2 linked regions of the Ovis aries genome follow. The protein of the gene in region 1 interacts with the protein of each later gene in a biochemical or structural test. Links are inferred from orthologs where the notes say so. Each region holds a gene or a part of one and is shown in the gene's direction. Other genes may lie near its edges.

Region 1 (6,475 bases):
ATTTCACTTAAAAAAAAATCTATGTGCCAGTATTCAAGCATTCTGGCACATAGCTGTTGTCAGTTGTTGATGAGAAGTCAAGCCAGAAATCAATGATTAAGTTTAACAAGGAAGAGATTTTTGCTTACGTTCGTTTTGCTGAAGTGGTGGAGGCCAAAGTCTTGTTTGCATGGATTGAGGAGAAAACAGGAGATGGGGAAACAGAGATTGTCAGTACACAAAACCCTTTCCAGGAGTTTTCCAGTAAATGAGAGCAGAAATGATGAACAGTAGCTGAAGAAGTGTGGAATCTTGGGATGCCTGACATGTGGGATCCTTCCTCCCTTCTTTTCTCCTTTCTGTAAAAGATTAAATATATTACAGCATGTTTGTCTGGTTTGGGGAATGATTGAGTAAAGATGAAGAAATTAATGATGCAAAAGATAGGATACTGATGGAAGCAAAACTCTGAGTGATTAAGAGGGTCTGGGATCCTTTGCAGAAGTATAAAGGTTGCCCTTAGATATAGACAGACAGTTCATCCTTTGTCATAAGAGGGAGGCAGTATATGTAAGTAAAGATTCAGAAAGGCTGGTAGATTTGGAGATGGGAGGATGTGTAAAGATATCAGTTTGGATTTTATAGCAGGAAGACCACATTAATAGTTTTGATTTAACAAAAGACAGTATGTCTCCTTCAAGGAAATGTTGGGATGTTGGGGTAGTTAGTCTAGAGCTGATGCAGTGATTCCATAGTCAATTATCCAGGCTCCATCTATCTGCAACCTCAAATGTGCATCTCACCTATGGTGGTCGAGAAGTGATACTCTAGCTCCTATTATTATGTCTGAATACTAGATAGAAGGCAGAGGGTAAGTGGAAAGGAAGAGCACAAGAGAAGTCTTTAAAGGGGGCAACCTGGAAAATGTCCTTATTCCTTCTGTTCACATGTCATTGGCCAGAATGTAATCACATTCTCACTCCTAACTGCAGAGGAGGCTGGGAAGTTTAGTATTTGAGTAGGTGACCGTGTGCTCAACCAACCTGTTCTTACTGGATGAGAAGTGGAGAATGGGTATCGTGCAGCTGCCAGAAGCCTCTGCTACAAGAAATACAGTGGCTTTCTTCTAATTTCTCAGTAAAGAGCTGTGATTGCTGCACATAAGAATGGATGAGATTCTGGGGGTTTGAAGAGAGAGGAGGAGCTAAATAGCCATTTGAAGACTGGATTAAATAAAGACCCATAGTAAGACTGGCTTCCCAGCCAATGCAGGAGATACAAGGGGTGTGGGTTTGATCCCTGGGTCAGGAAGATCCCTTGAAGAAGGAAATAGCAACCCACTCCAGTATTCTTGCCTGGAAAATCCCATGGACAGAGGAGTCCATAGAGATTTTCTATGGACTTCCCTGGTGGCTCAGATGGTAAAGTGTCTGCCTACCATGCGGGAGACCTGGGTTGGATCCCTGGGTCAGGAAGATCCTCTGGAGAAAGAAATGGCAATCCACTCCAGTACTCTTGCCTGGAAAATCCCATGGATGGAAGAGCCAGGTAGGCTACAGTCCATGGGGTCGCAAAGAGTTGGACATGACTGAGCAACTTCACCTTCACCTTCATGCATCCATAGGACTGTGGGATGCAGTCTATAGAGTAGCAAAGAGTCGGACACAACTGAAGGACTGGGTGCATCATCTTGATTCCTCCCTGAATCTTGACATGAAGAAACTCTGACATATGGTACGTTTGTGATCAGGCACATGTTTCACTGGACCAGAGATTTCCTTGCAATGAAACTCAGCTGACAAAGAAAAAATTGTCCTTGGCTCTGTGGATGACATGTTTGTTTTTGGTATTACCCAATTTGTGAACTGGAGGCATCTGAAAAGGGTTGGCAATGATGTTCATCTCCAGAAGCTATCCTCCATGAAACACCAAGACTCGGGCTGAAGTGGGTGCTAGAGATGCACTATGATATGTTCTCAGATGGCCATGCTTCTATTAAGATTTTTTAAATTATTTTCTCAAGATAAATACCCAAGTGGAACTCTCAGAGAGCTTCTTCATTTTTCCTGTCACAAAGAATTGGTGATCTCATAGTCACAGGAGCTTGTAATAAATAACCAACATTGATTTCTCTGTTCCAGAATTATTTTGCTTCCCTTATTTCCAGAGCCCTGACACTTGCTGAGAAAGCTAGTATTGGAAAATCATTTACGTGGTGGCACAGACTCCCCCACTGCCTTGGATATAAATCCATGCAGGATGGAGCAGGTCTAGAGGCAAAGAATCTAGGACTTCTGGTTGCTGAGCTTTCAGCCAAAGACATCTTCTCCAGAAGGGTGAATCCAGATGCTAGAAGTATTGGAGGCATAGACTGACCATGGAGAGGCTGTTGTGGTGCTTCCTGGCCTTGGTCGGCTTCTCTAGTGTTTTGGGCCAGACAGGTAGGGGCTACTCCAGGATGTGCCAAGTATTTGATTTGAGTGATAGGAGTGGGGCCTAAGATTATACAAGGTGAAGTCAGAGGGACATCCAGCATGGGTGAGTGTGTGTATGTCTGTGTGTGTGTATGACACTGAGGAAAAATCAGTCTATTTCTCAATCCCAAACTCTATTTATGCAGGAATAGATCTTTGTGATCTGAGAAACTTCTCACCTCTCCTCTGCTTTCTGTCTCACAGACTTGCATAAGAAGGCCTTCGTGTTTCCCAAAGAGACGGAGAATTCCTACGTATCTCTGAAAACACAGTTAGAGACCCCACTCAAAGCCTTCACCGTGTGTCTCTATTTCTACACAGAGCTGGCCCGAACCCGCAGCTACAGCATTTTCTCTTATGCCACCAGGCAGCAACCTAACGAGATCCTCATATTTTGGTCTAAGGGTAGAGGCTATACTTTTGGAGTACATGGGAAGGAGGTATCATTCCAGAGTTTCGAAAATACTCAAGCTCCAACACACATCTGTGCCAGCTGGGAGTCCACCTCCGGAATTGCAGAGCTCTGGGTGAATGGGAAACCCCGGGTGAGGAAGAGTCTGGAGAAGGGAGCCTCTCTGGGGAAAGACGCCAGCATCATCCTGGGGCAGGAGCAGGATGCGTTCGCTGGGGGCTTTGATAGAAACCAGTGTTTGGTGGGAGACATTGGAGATGTGAACATGTGGGACTTTGTGCTGTCGCCGGAAGAGATTAACACTGTCTATATTGGTGGGAACCTCAGTCCTAATGTCCTTAACTGGAAGGCGCTGAACTATGAAGCAAAGGGTGAGGTGTTCATTAAGCCTCAGCTGTGGTAGTGAGGTTGGGCTGTGGTCCTGGAAGTGCTTCCTGGCAATTCCACCCTATGGCTCTGGACCTCCCCACCCCTGTACACACCGCTGCAGGCCTGCTCTGTGAACACAGGCTTTTGCTTCCCTGCTCTACCTTCCTTAACACCAGATGGAATTTTTAAGTATCTGGCTTGGGAGATTGGAAAGCTTTGCCCACAAGGTCAGGATTGCAGATGCTTTGGGATTTCCTGTTTTTTTTTTTTTTTTTAAATTGATTATCTTAGATTATTTTAGAGATAATCCCTTACCCTCACTTAGATAAGAAGATTAGGACCCAGCAAGGAGAAGTGATTTTTTTTTTTTTAAGTCAAAAGGTGAATCTTTGGGCTGAGTAGGGAGTGCTGGTCTCATATCTAATTTCCTACTAAGAACCCCCCAGAAAGTAGGAGAGTCTTCCTCATCTTCACAGGGCTCTTCAGTGTCAGAGTTCTGACACTGGCCCAGGTCTTCTGAAATGGGAAACCTAGTGATGCAAAGTACCCTGGAAGGGCAATCAGAAAGGCCCAATACAGAAAACCTATATTTTTTCATGGGCAAAGTGGAGGCATCTAGTTAGTTACTTTAATTGTTATTGCCAAGCGTTTACATAGCCATGTTTTTGTTTGCTCACAGTGATTTCTTCATTTTGTGGTTCTTTTGGGGAACTCTTCTCAAACACCATCTGAACCACATGGGACGGTGCATCCCCACCTGTTTCCCCAACATAGCCAGGCCACAGAGTGGGTGTGACTCACACTGAACTATCAGAGTAGCCAAAACTTGTTTGGAGATTTAGGATGGCGGGATGGTTACATGCTCCTAGCTGGACACATTATAGTCTTTCCCAGGACTGATTTATGAACTCTGGGAGTGAGACATCTTTCTGCTGGAATTCCCATCTGAGAGGGTATTAGCCTGAGACTGTCAGCAGCCATCTTGTCTACCACATGGAGAAAGACTGTGAGGAAAGAGGCCAAGCTGTGGTCAGCAGAGCTGAGGAATTGACAGAGCAGTGGAGCCTTGACTGGACTGTTTGAATTTCTGGATCTGCTTTGCCTGGAACCAGATCTACACCTGAACCTCTCATGTTCATGAACCAGTAAAGCCCCTGTTTATATTAGTGAACCTGAGCTGTTATCTGATGGTTGTATTTCAAGTGGTGACTAACTTTTCTAACAATCTTCTGAAACCAAGTCCCTGTGAGTTCAGATGAACCATTACCTGTCTTGCAGTGACATAGCTAATGGCTCTCCAACCTCCCATAGGGATTTTTTTCTGTCGAGCGCAACCCCTCTTTTGTGATAGCTGGTAATTTGTGTGAGGCCAGTTGTGGGGGTGTAAAACTCTCACTCTAGAGAGTAAGAGGTATAAACTATTTTGTATAAAATAAGCTACAAGAATATATTGTACAACATGAGGAATATAGCTGATATTTTATAGTAGCTATAAATGGAGTATAACCTCTAGACATTGTAAGTCATTATATTGTACACCTGTAGCATATAATATAGTACTGCAACTATACTTCAGTTAAAAAAACTCACTGTGTTATTACTCCAATATGAGGAACAAAAACTAAAGCTCATTGACATCCAAGAATCTGCTGTCAGTTTCAATGGCTGGAATGCACTTTCCAAGCTGCTTAAGTCCCTTGTAGAGAAAGACCCCCCAAGGGTGATGGCTGCTGGTTTCTTCCAAAGGTGTCCTTCACCTTGGCTTTTTAGTACTAAGTGAGCTGTTGAAATTACCCCACAGAAGTCACACTAAAGTATGAACTAGCCCTGTGACTATGTATCAAATAGCTACTTTGGGGAAGGCATACAGTAGACTAGTTAAACATAAAGTTTCTGGAATCACCCTGCCTAGGTTTAAATCCTGGCTTTACAACTTACTATGTGACTTTTTGTCTTGGTTTTCTTGTCTATAAAGTGAGGAGAAATAATAGTAATTAGCTCAAAGAGCTGTTGAAAGGATCAAGTGAGATCATGCGTATAGAGCACTTTAGGGTAGTGCCTGGCACATAGTAAACTCTCAGGATAGTTATCTGCTATTATTATTATTGAAGAGAAGGGGATGACAGAGGATGAGATGGCTGGATGGCATCACCAACTCAATCGACATGAGTTTGAGCAAGCTCTGGAAGTTGGTGATGGACAGAAAAGCCTGGCCTGCTGAGTCCATGGGGCACAAAGAGTTGGATATGACTGAGCGACTGAACTGAACTTTGTATGCTGTCCGCAATCAAAGGTGGATTATATACCATTGAAACACAATTTGGTGGAATTAGTCTGGGTTGATTGCAGTTGAAAGGTCTGAATCTTAACCAAAAATTAAACTCAGAATATTAGAATGATAAATTTATGAGTGTTGATTTATGAACATTGATTCCCCTAATTGACTTTTGGTAACCATTTGAAAGCATAGAAGTTAAGGGTAAGGACTTGCCTGGCGGTCCAGTGGTTAAGACTCTGCACTTCCAATGTAGGGGTCTCAGCTTTGATCCCTGGTTGGGGAACTGAGATCCCACATGCTGCACAACATAGACAAATAAATAAATTTTAAAAATGTGGAAAAAAAAGAGAAGTTAAGGATATGTTTTCCTGGGTAAATATGTGAGTGCAAATATTTTTTGTTGTCTAATTAGGGCAGATCCATATACCCTGACATTCAGTTAAGAAGAAGGAAGGGTTGATTTTTTTTTCCCCCTAGTTAAAGAATCCATTCAGGAGTTATGTCTTAATTATAGAAGGCTATCCCAACTCCCCAGGGATGTGGGCTGAGCTAATATTTTTCTCAGAATTCAATTACTGGTACCTTGCCACACATAGTTTAGTGGACACCCTCTGGTCCTGATCATTTTAGCCAGGGAAATTTTTAAAGCTGGTATTTGCATTCAGTGAACATTTAAAAATCTCAATAAAGCATTTCTGGAATGTTTAAATAACTTAGCTTACCTAAAGATTCTTCATTGTAATCTTGTTAGAGAAGATATCCCAAGGTAACTGGGGAATTATTGGACTATATAGAGTTGTTCGACATAATACAATTAAATGTTATATGACATCTACCAGAGAGGATTTGGTAGGTTAGTTCTGAGCAATCCTTTGTCACAGCGAATGGAGAGTAAGATCAATTATTCAGTAAGGCTGATGTTAATGTAGCCATGTCATTCACACTAGTTTTCCTTAATAGCAG
Region 2 (6,227 bases), on another chromosome or scaffold:
TACTAGTTTGATTGCTGGTTTGTGAAGATTCTGTGGAGGAGGTAATGGAAATCCTCACCTTTATTCTTGCCTAGAAAATCTAATAGACAGAGGAGACTGGTGGGCTAAAATCCAAAGGATAGCAAAAGTCAGACATGACTGAGTGACTAAGCATGTAGCTAAAGCCACAGAATGTGTGCATCTGTAGATCAATAGTGTCCTATGAGTTCTTGCACAATTAAAAATATTTTCTGTAGTGTAATACTTGGCTGTCTGGTTGTATGGATATAAAACTCTTGATTTTCATTTTTTTTCTTAACTTTTATGAAAATGCTCTTCTATTATTGCCTTGGTTTTTTAGTTTCTTTGGAGAATTCTAAAGTCCTTCTATTTTCCCCCACCTAGAGCTCTGTGGAACTTCCCATTACCCTTACAGAGAAGACATGTTTAACCTGTCTATTCTAAATATGCAACATGATGAGTCTCACAAAATATATATAGTTTTGTCGTGACAGGCTGTGTCCAACTCTTGTGATCCCATGGAGGGTAGCCTGCCAAGCTTCTCTGTCCATGGTATTTCCCAGGCAAGAATAGTGGAGTAAGTTTCCATTTTCTTTCCAATACATCTATACAATTACTCTATAATCAAGATGTAGAATATTTTCATCATCCCAAATGTTCCTTCATGCCTTTTGAAGTCTCTCCATGTTCCATAACTACACTATTTCTTTTTTGGAGTGGAGGTTTGTGTTCAATGAGAAATGAACGTTTGAAGAAAAACAATAACTTTTTTAAAAAATATAAATTTATTTATTTTAATTGGAGGTTAATTACTTTACAATATTGTATTGATTTTGCCATACATCAACATGAATCTGCCACAGGTAACTTTATCTTTTCTTTTTTCAACATTCTTTTATTGATAAACATTTAAACAATCTGTAGTTTTCTTTATGAAAACATAAGTTGTATGGAAATTTTAGCTTATGGAAATGTCCACAACTATTTTTATAGAAGGTATACATAAAAAAAGAAACATTCAAATGTTGAAAGTGAAAATAGCACCCCATTCACAAATTTGTTTAATTTTTCATATAGGATTTCATATTATTCAGTAGAATCTAGTATGACCAATACCCCAAATTCTTGTGTTTGGGGATAAAAACTCAAGGCTCTTTCAAGTCCTTTTGATTTGAGACATAAGGTGTGTCCTCTGGATTGGATTTTGACTTTTAACTTTACATTTTATTCTGAAAATGGTAATTTTTAAGGCAACGTTAAACATAGAAATAGCTAAACACCTAAAGTTAATCTTAACGTGATTGATAATTTTTTTAACACACATGTATGCCTGTGTAACTACTACCCAGGACTAAATTGAGTAAATGTCCAACACAACCTCAGGTTTCCTTGTGTCTCGTCCCATTCTGTACCACACGTTACACCACCTTCATGATGAGGTTTTCAACCTTTCGAAAGCCTACCAATGAAATTATAAGATATGTACTTAGTGAGTGTGTTTGATTTTTCTCCATTTACAAGAGCTGTGAGATTATCCCAAACCACTCTCTATCATTTTCTAAATTAGTGCGTATTAATCAGTCATATGAAAATGCTACAAATGTTTTATCCATTTTCTCAATGTTCATGGGAACAATTGCATTTTTGCCATTTATGAATAAAGCTGCAATGAACAATTCTGTATGTGTCTTTTTAAGGGATGCACTCCAGATCCTCTGGTGAGGGAGAGGTTAAGGGGAGAAACTTCCAGGTGCAAGATAGATGAGTCATAAACATGAAATATTCAGTGCGGAGCATTTAGTCAATAATTATGCAATTTTTAAAATCTTGCTAGATTGTAACTAGACTTACTGTGGCAATTATTTTGAAATGGACAGAAACATGGAATCACTAAACTGTGTAACAGAAAGTAACACAATGTTGTAGGCCAACTGTACTTAAAAGAACAAACAAATACTCTGAAAAATAAATCTCATTTGTGATTACCATAGGCTAGGCCTGGAGATAGGGGAACTGGATGAAGCCAGTCAAAAGGTACCAAATTCCTGCTGTGAGATAGATTAATACTAAGAATGTAGTGTACAACATGATTAATATGACTAATTCTGCTGTATCTTAAGTATGAAAGTTAATAGGATGGTAAGTCCTGAGTTCTCATCACAAATTCTTTTTTCTTTACTTTTATATCTAAATGAGATGATGGATATTCACAAACCTTATTGTTGTAATCATTTCAGGATATATGTAAATTACATCATTAGGCCATACACCTGAAACTTACGCAGTGCTTTATGTCAATTACATGTTAACAACATTAGGAAGTTGATCATCATAGAACCCATACATAAATAGCACGCAAGTGAAGGGATTGTGCTATAATTTATATGACTGTTTTTAAGCTCTACTATAATTTTTTTTTAATTTATTCACTTTCCCCAGTCCATGAAAATATGGATGACCCAAATGGCTGGTAAAAACTTCACCTACTGTCTTGAAATATATTATTGAAAGTTAGTATCTGATATATGGCTTTGGAGCTAGTCCATATTAGCCACAGAAAGTTGTGCACATAGATATCAGGTGATGAATACAATGACTTATTGGGAAACTACCAACAGAAACAAGGTAGGGACATTTCAAAACTTTGAACTTCAATATTTACTAAATGGCACTAATTAACTAGCTTCCTTGTAACGCATAAATTCAGTCACACTAGGTAACTGCAAATGAAGCAGATTTTTGAACCCTAAACAGTGCAACTGGAGTATTTGTGTGAATGTACCACTGGGAAAACCTAACATGTTGTTGTTAACCAATGTCCTTCTCACCTTGTGGTTTTACACTGCTCATGGACAGGGTAAGTTGAAACCTATGTGAACACTCAGCCTTCCTCCTAAATATAACTATCTACTTTCCTTTGTGTGTATTTTTGATTGAATAAACTGGTTAAAATAGTCTGCACTGTGAGATAACCATAAGAATACCTTAATGGAAAAATGATCAGACATTCACCTAAAAGGGGAAAACACAATGAATACTTTTCTATGTCATCTGAGTTCCACAGTGCAAAAAGGTACTCTATGTAGATTACGGGGTCATGTGAATATGCTCATGAAAATGTGAATAGAAAATGTGTCACAGAAAAGTAGATTATAATTCCAAAATGTTTAGGAGAGTCTTACTTGTAATATGAGAAAGCTCTGGAGAACAATGGTTATTTTTATACTTTTACATATGGTGATTTTTGCAGGTTCAAATCTCATTTTAAATATGTTCATTTGACTGTATTGTGATTATAGCTTAATAAATCTATTAAAGGTCATTAACATCGCTGTTAGTTTTTAAAAACCAGCGTAGGTACAAGATATATTTTCCTTTTACAAAATGTGAAAGACAGTCTTAATTTCCAGTGTAGTGCCAATATATTTAGAATTCTTTTCAGAGAGAAATGTAAATGTTGACAACCTTAAAAAAACTTGTCACTTTTATTTTTAAACTTATAAGTTGTTTTCATTAGTTATCTATTTTTTACACTCTCCCAATTCATCCCTCTACTCTTGGGCCCTCTTGCATCTAGACATCCGTTCTCTATGCCTGTATCTCTATTTTTGCTTTGCAGTAAGTTCATCTGTAGCATTTTTCTAGATTCCATATATAAGCAATATTATACAATATTTATTTTTCTCTTTCTGACTAGCTTCACTCTATGTGACAGTCTCTGGGTCTATCCATGTCTCTGCAAATTGTGCAATTTCATCGCATTTTATGGCTGAGTAATATTTCACTGTGTATATGTACCACTTCTTCTGCATCTGTTCTTCTGTTGATGGACATTTAGGTTGATTCCATGTCCTGGCAGGTGTGGATAAAATAGATAACTAAGGAGAACTTACTGTGTATCATAGGCAGCTCCACTCAATGCTCTCTGGTGACCTAAATGGGAAGGAAATCCAAGAAAAGGGAATATATATATATATATATCTATATATATATCTATATCTATATATATATATATATATACACACACATTCATATAACATATTCAGATTTGTTTTGATGTACAGCAGAAGCTAACCCAATATTTAAAAGCAACTCCAATGAAAATGAAAAACAAAAGTCAAATTATACAAATGTATTAATATAAGTAATTAAATAATATTGAAAACAAAGATTTTACTCCCAAATATAAAACTTATATGTTTTTCATTATGATATATTTGTCTTTCATTTTCTTAATAATCCATTTGTCTTCAAGTTTTTGTAAATGAAAACTCTAATGAGTTTTATGATCCCTCGTGACATTCAAGATGTGAATAGAATGTGCATCACTCTGCATTATTCATCTCATAATTTGTCGCATGCTATTTTAGTCCATTTGGTAATTTTCTTCGTGAACAACACTTGGAGCACAATAAAGCTCCCTGTCTAGTCCTTAGTGTTACAATTAAAAGCAGCTCTGGCCCCAGATCACTTATAAGAAAGGCTGCATCACCATTATTCTTGCTGAGGAGCAGGCAGACATGAATTGTTTCTCCTGATTCTCAGGTACATGAGTGATGGTTTATTAATCAGCTAGAATAAGATTACTGGAGAAGGCAATGGCACCCCACTCCAGTACCCTTGCCTGGAAAATCCCATGGGCAGATGAGCCTGGTAGGCTGCAGTCCATGGGATCGCTAAGAGTCTGACATGACTGAGCGACTTCACTTTCACTTTGTACTTTCGGGCATTGGAGAAGGAAATGGCAACCCACTTCAGTGTTCTTGCCTGGAGAATCCCAGGGATGGGGGAGCCTGGTGGGCTGCCATTTATGGGGTCACACAGAGTCAGACACGACTGAAGCGACTTAGCAGCAGCAGCAGCAGCAGAATAAGACTACAGGCATATTTCCAAACAAGAGGAGAAAGAGTATACAATATGAAAGAGAAATGTGAAACTTTGATAAATCTTCACCAGATATTCCAGTGCAACCCTTCTCTTCTCATTAACAACTGAACTCTTTCCAAAAGTGGTCTTAAAGCTAAATGTTTGAATATTTAAGCAAAGTTTTTCTTCCATAATTTATGGGTGCACTTATGAAATTTTTAGCATGCAAAATAATTGTAATATCAGATTCAAGCCATTAAGTAAAACTCACATCAACTAACACTTATTGTAGATACCTGCATGCCTGCGTGCTAAGTCGCTTCAGTCATGTCTGACTCTTTGCCTCCCCATCGGCTGTAGCCCACCAGGCTTCTCTGTCCATGGGATTTTCCAGGCAACAATACTGGAGTGGGTTGCCATGCCTGCCTCCACGGGATCATCCAAACCCAAGGATCAAACCTGCCTGTACTATGTCTCCTGCATTGGCAGGCGGGGTCCTTCTTTACCACTAGCACCAAGTGGGATGCCCATTATATTAGATACATAGTCCTAATTAACAAATGTTCCAGAAAACACATTGGCTTAAGACAATACACCTCCATATTCGTACAGCTCCTGTGGGTCAAGAATAAAGAAAGGGCTTCGCTGGCTAGTTATGTATTACTCTGTTTGGGAGGCAACTGGGTAATGGCCTGGGCCGCTGTTACCTGGACACTCAGCTGGGCTGGAGGCGTTGCTTCCAAGTTGGCTCACTCTCTTGGCTTTTGGGGGAGGCCTCAGCACCTGACCACGTGGTCATCTGTGCAGGTTACTCGAGAGACATCTAGCTTTCCTCAGGGCCAGTGACAGCAGACAGGGAGGAGGAAGCTTCCACAGCAGGTATGAGTTTGTCACACTGTCACGTCAGTAATGTGCAATCATGAGAAATGGTCACTAAGCCCTGCACACTCAGTAGAGAGGACTAAGGCTCTAATATTTGGAGAGAGGAGTGTGGAAGGCATTGTGGACTTTCCTAAAACCATCACATATAGAAAAACGTCAGGTGAGCTGAACAGAATATTTTCAGGGGATGCTTTCTTTACTCCTCAACTTCCTCTAAGTTGCCTCTAAACAATCTTCTTTCTAACAGTACACTGTAAGATTTCAGCATACTTAAACCAGTTATTCCATGAAAGAAAACTCTAATGATATAAAACAGTTCAATGACCTTAATGGTAATTCCAAGCATACATTTAAAATGAATTTTCAAAGCATAAGTTCCATTAAAATGAAGGTATTAGCAGTATGAAATAGATTTTAATCTGCATAAGAATTTTAAGAAAAATATTTAATCTTGTTTAAGATGGATTTATGAAAATGGT

The links. The genes of interacting proteins can lie anywhere in the genome.
Region 2: the proteins of CRP (region 1) and complement factor H-like form a complex in vitro, tested with the Homo sapiens proteins (4 studies listed by IntAct, with this or other methods). The link is inferred for Ovis aries from reciprocal best matches to the Homo sapiens genes CRP and CFHR4.

What each region holds. Positions count from the first base shown.
Region 1 is NC_056054.1:110,719,011-110,725,485, reverse strand, and holds CRP (C-reactive protein), read left to right. Parts: upstream 1-2,251; 5' UTR 2,252-2,356; coding exon 2,357-2,420; intron 2,421-2,657; coding exon 2,658-3,268; 3' UTR 3,269-6,221; downstream 6,222-6,475. UniProt on the Homo sapiens protein: Displays several functions associated with host defense: it promotes agglutination, bacterial capsular swelling, phagocytosis and complement fixation through its calcium-dependent binding to phosphorylcholine.
Region 2 is NC_056065.1:5,613,327-5,619,553, reverse strand, and holds the start of complement factor H-like, read left to right. Parts: upstream 1-2,728; 5' UTR 2,729-2,799; coding exon 2,800-2,857; intron 2,858-6,227.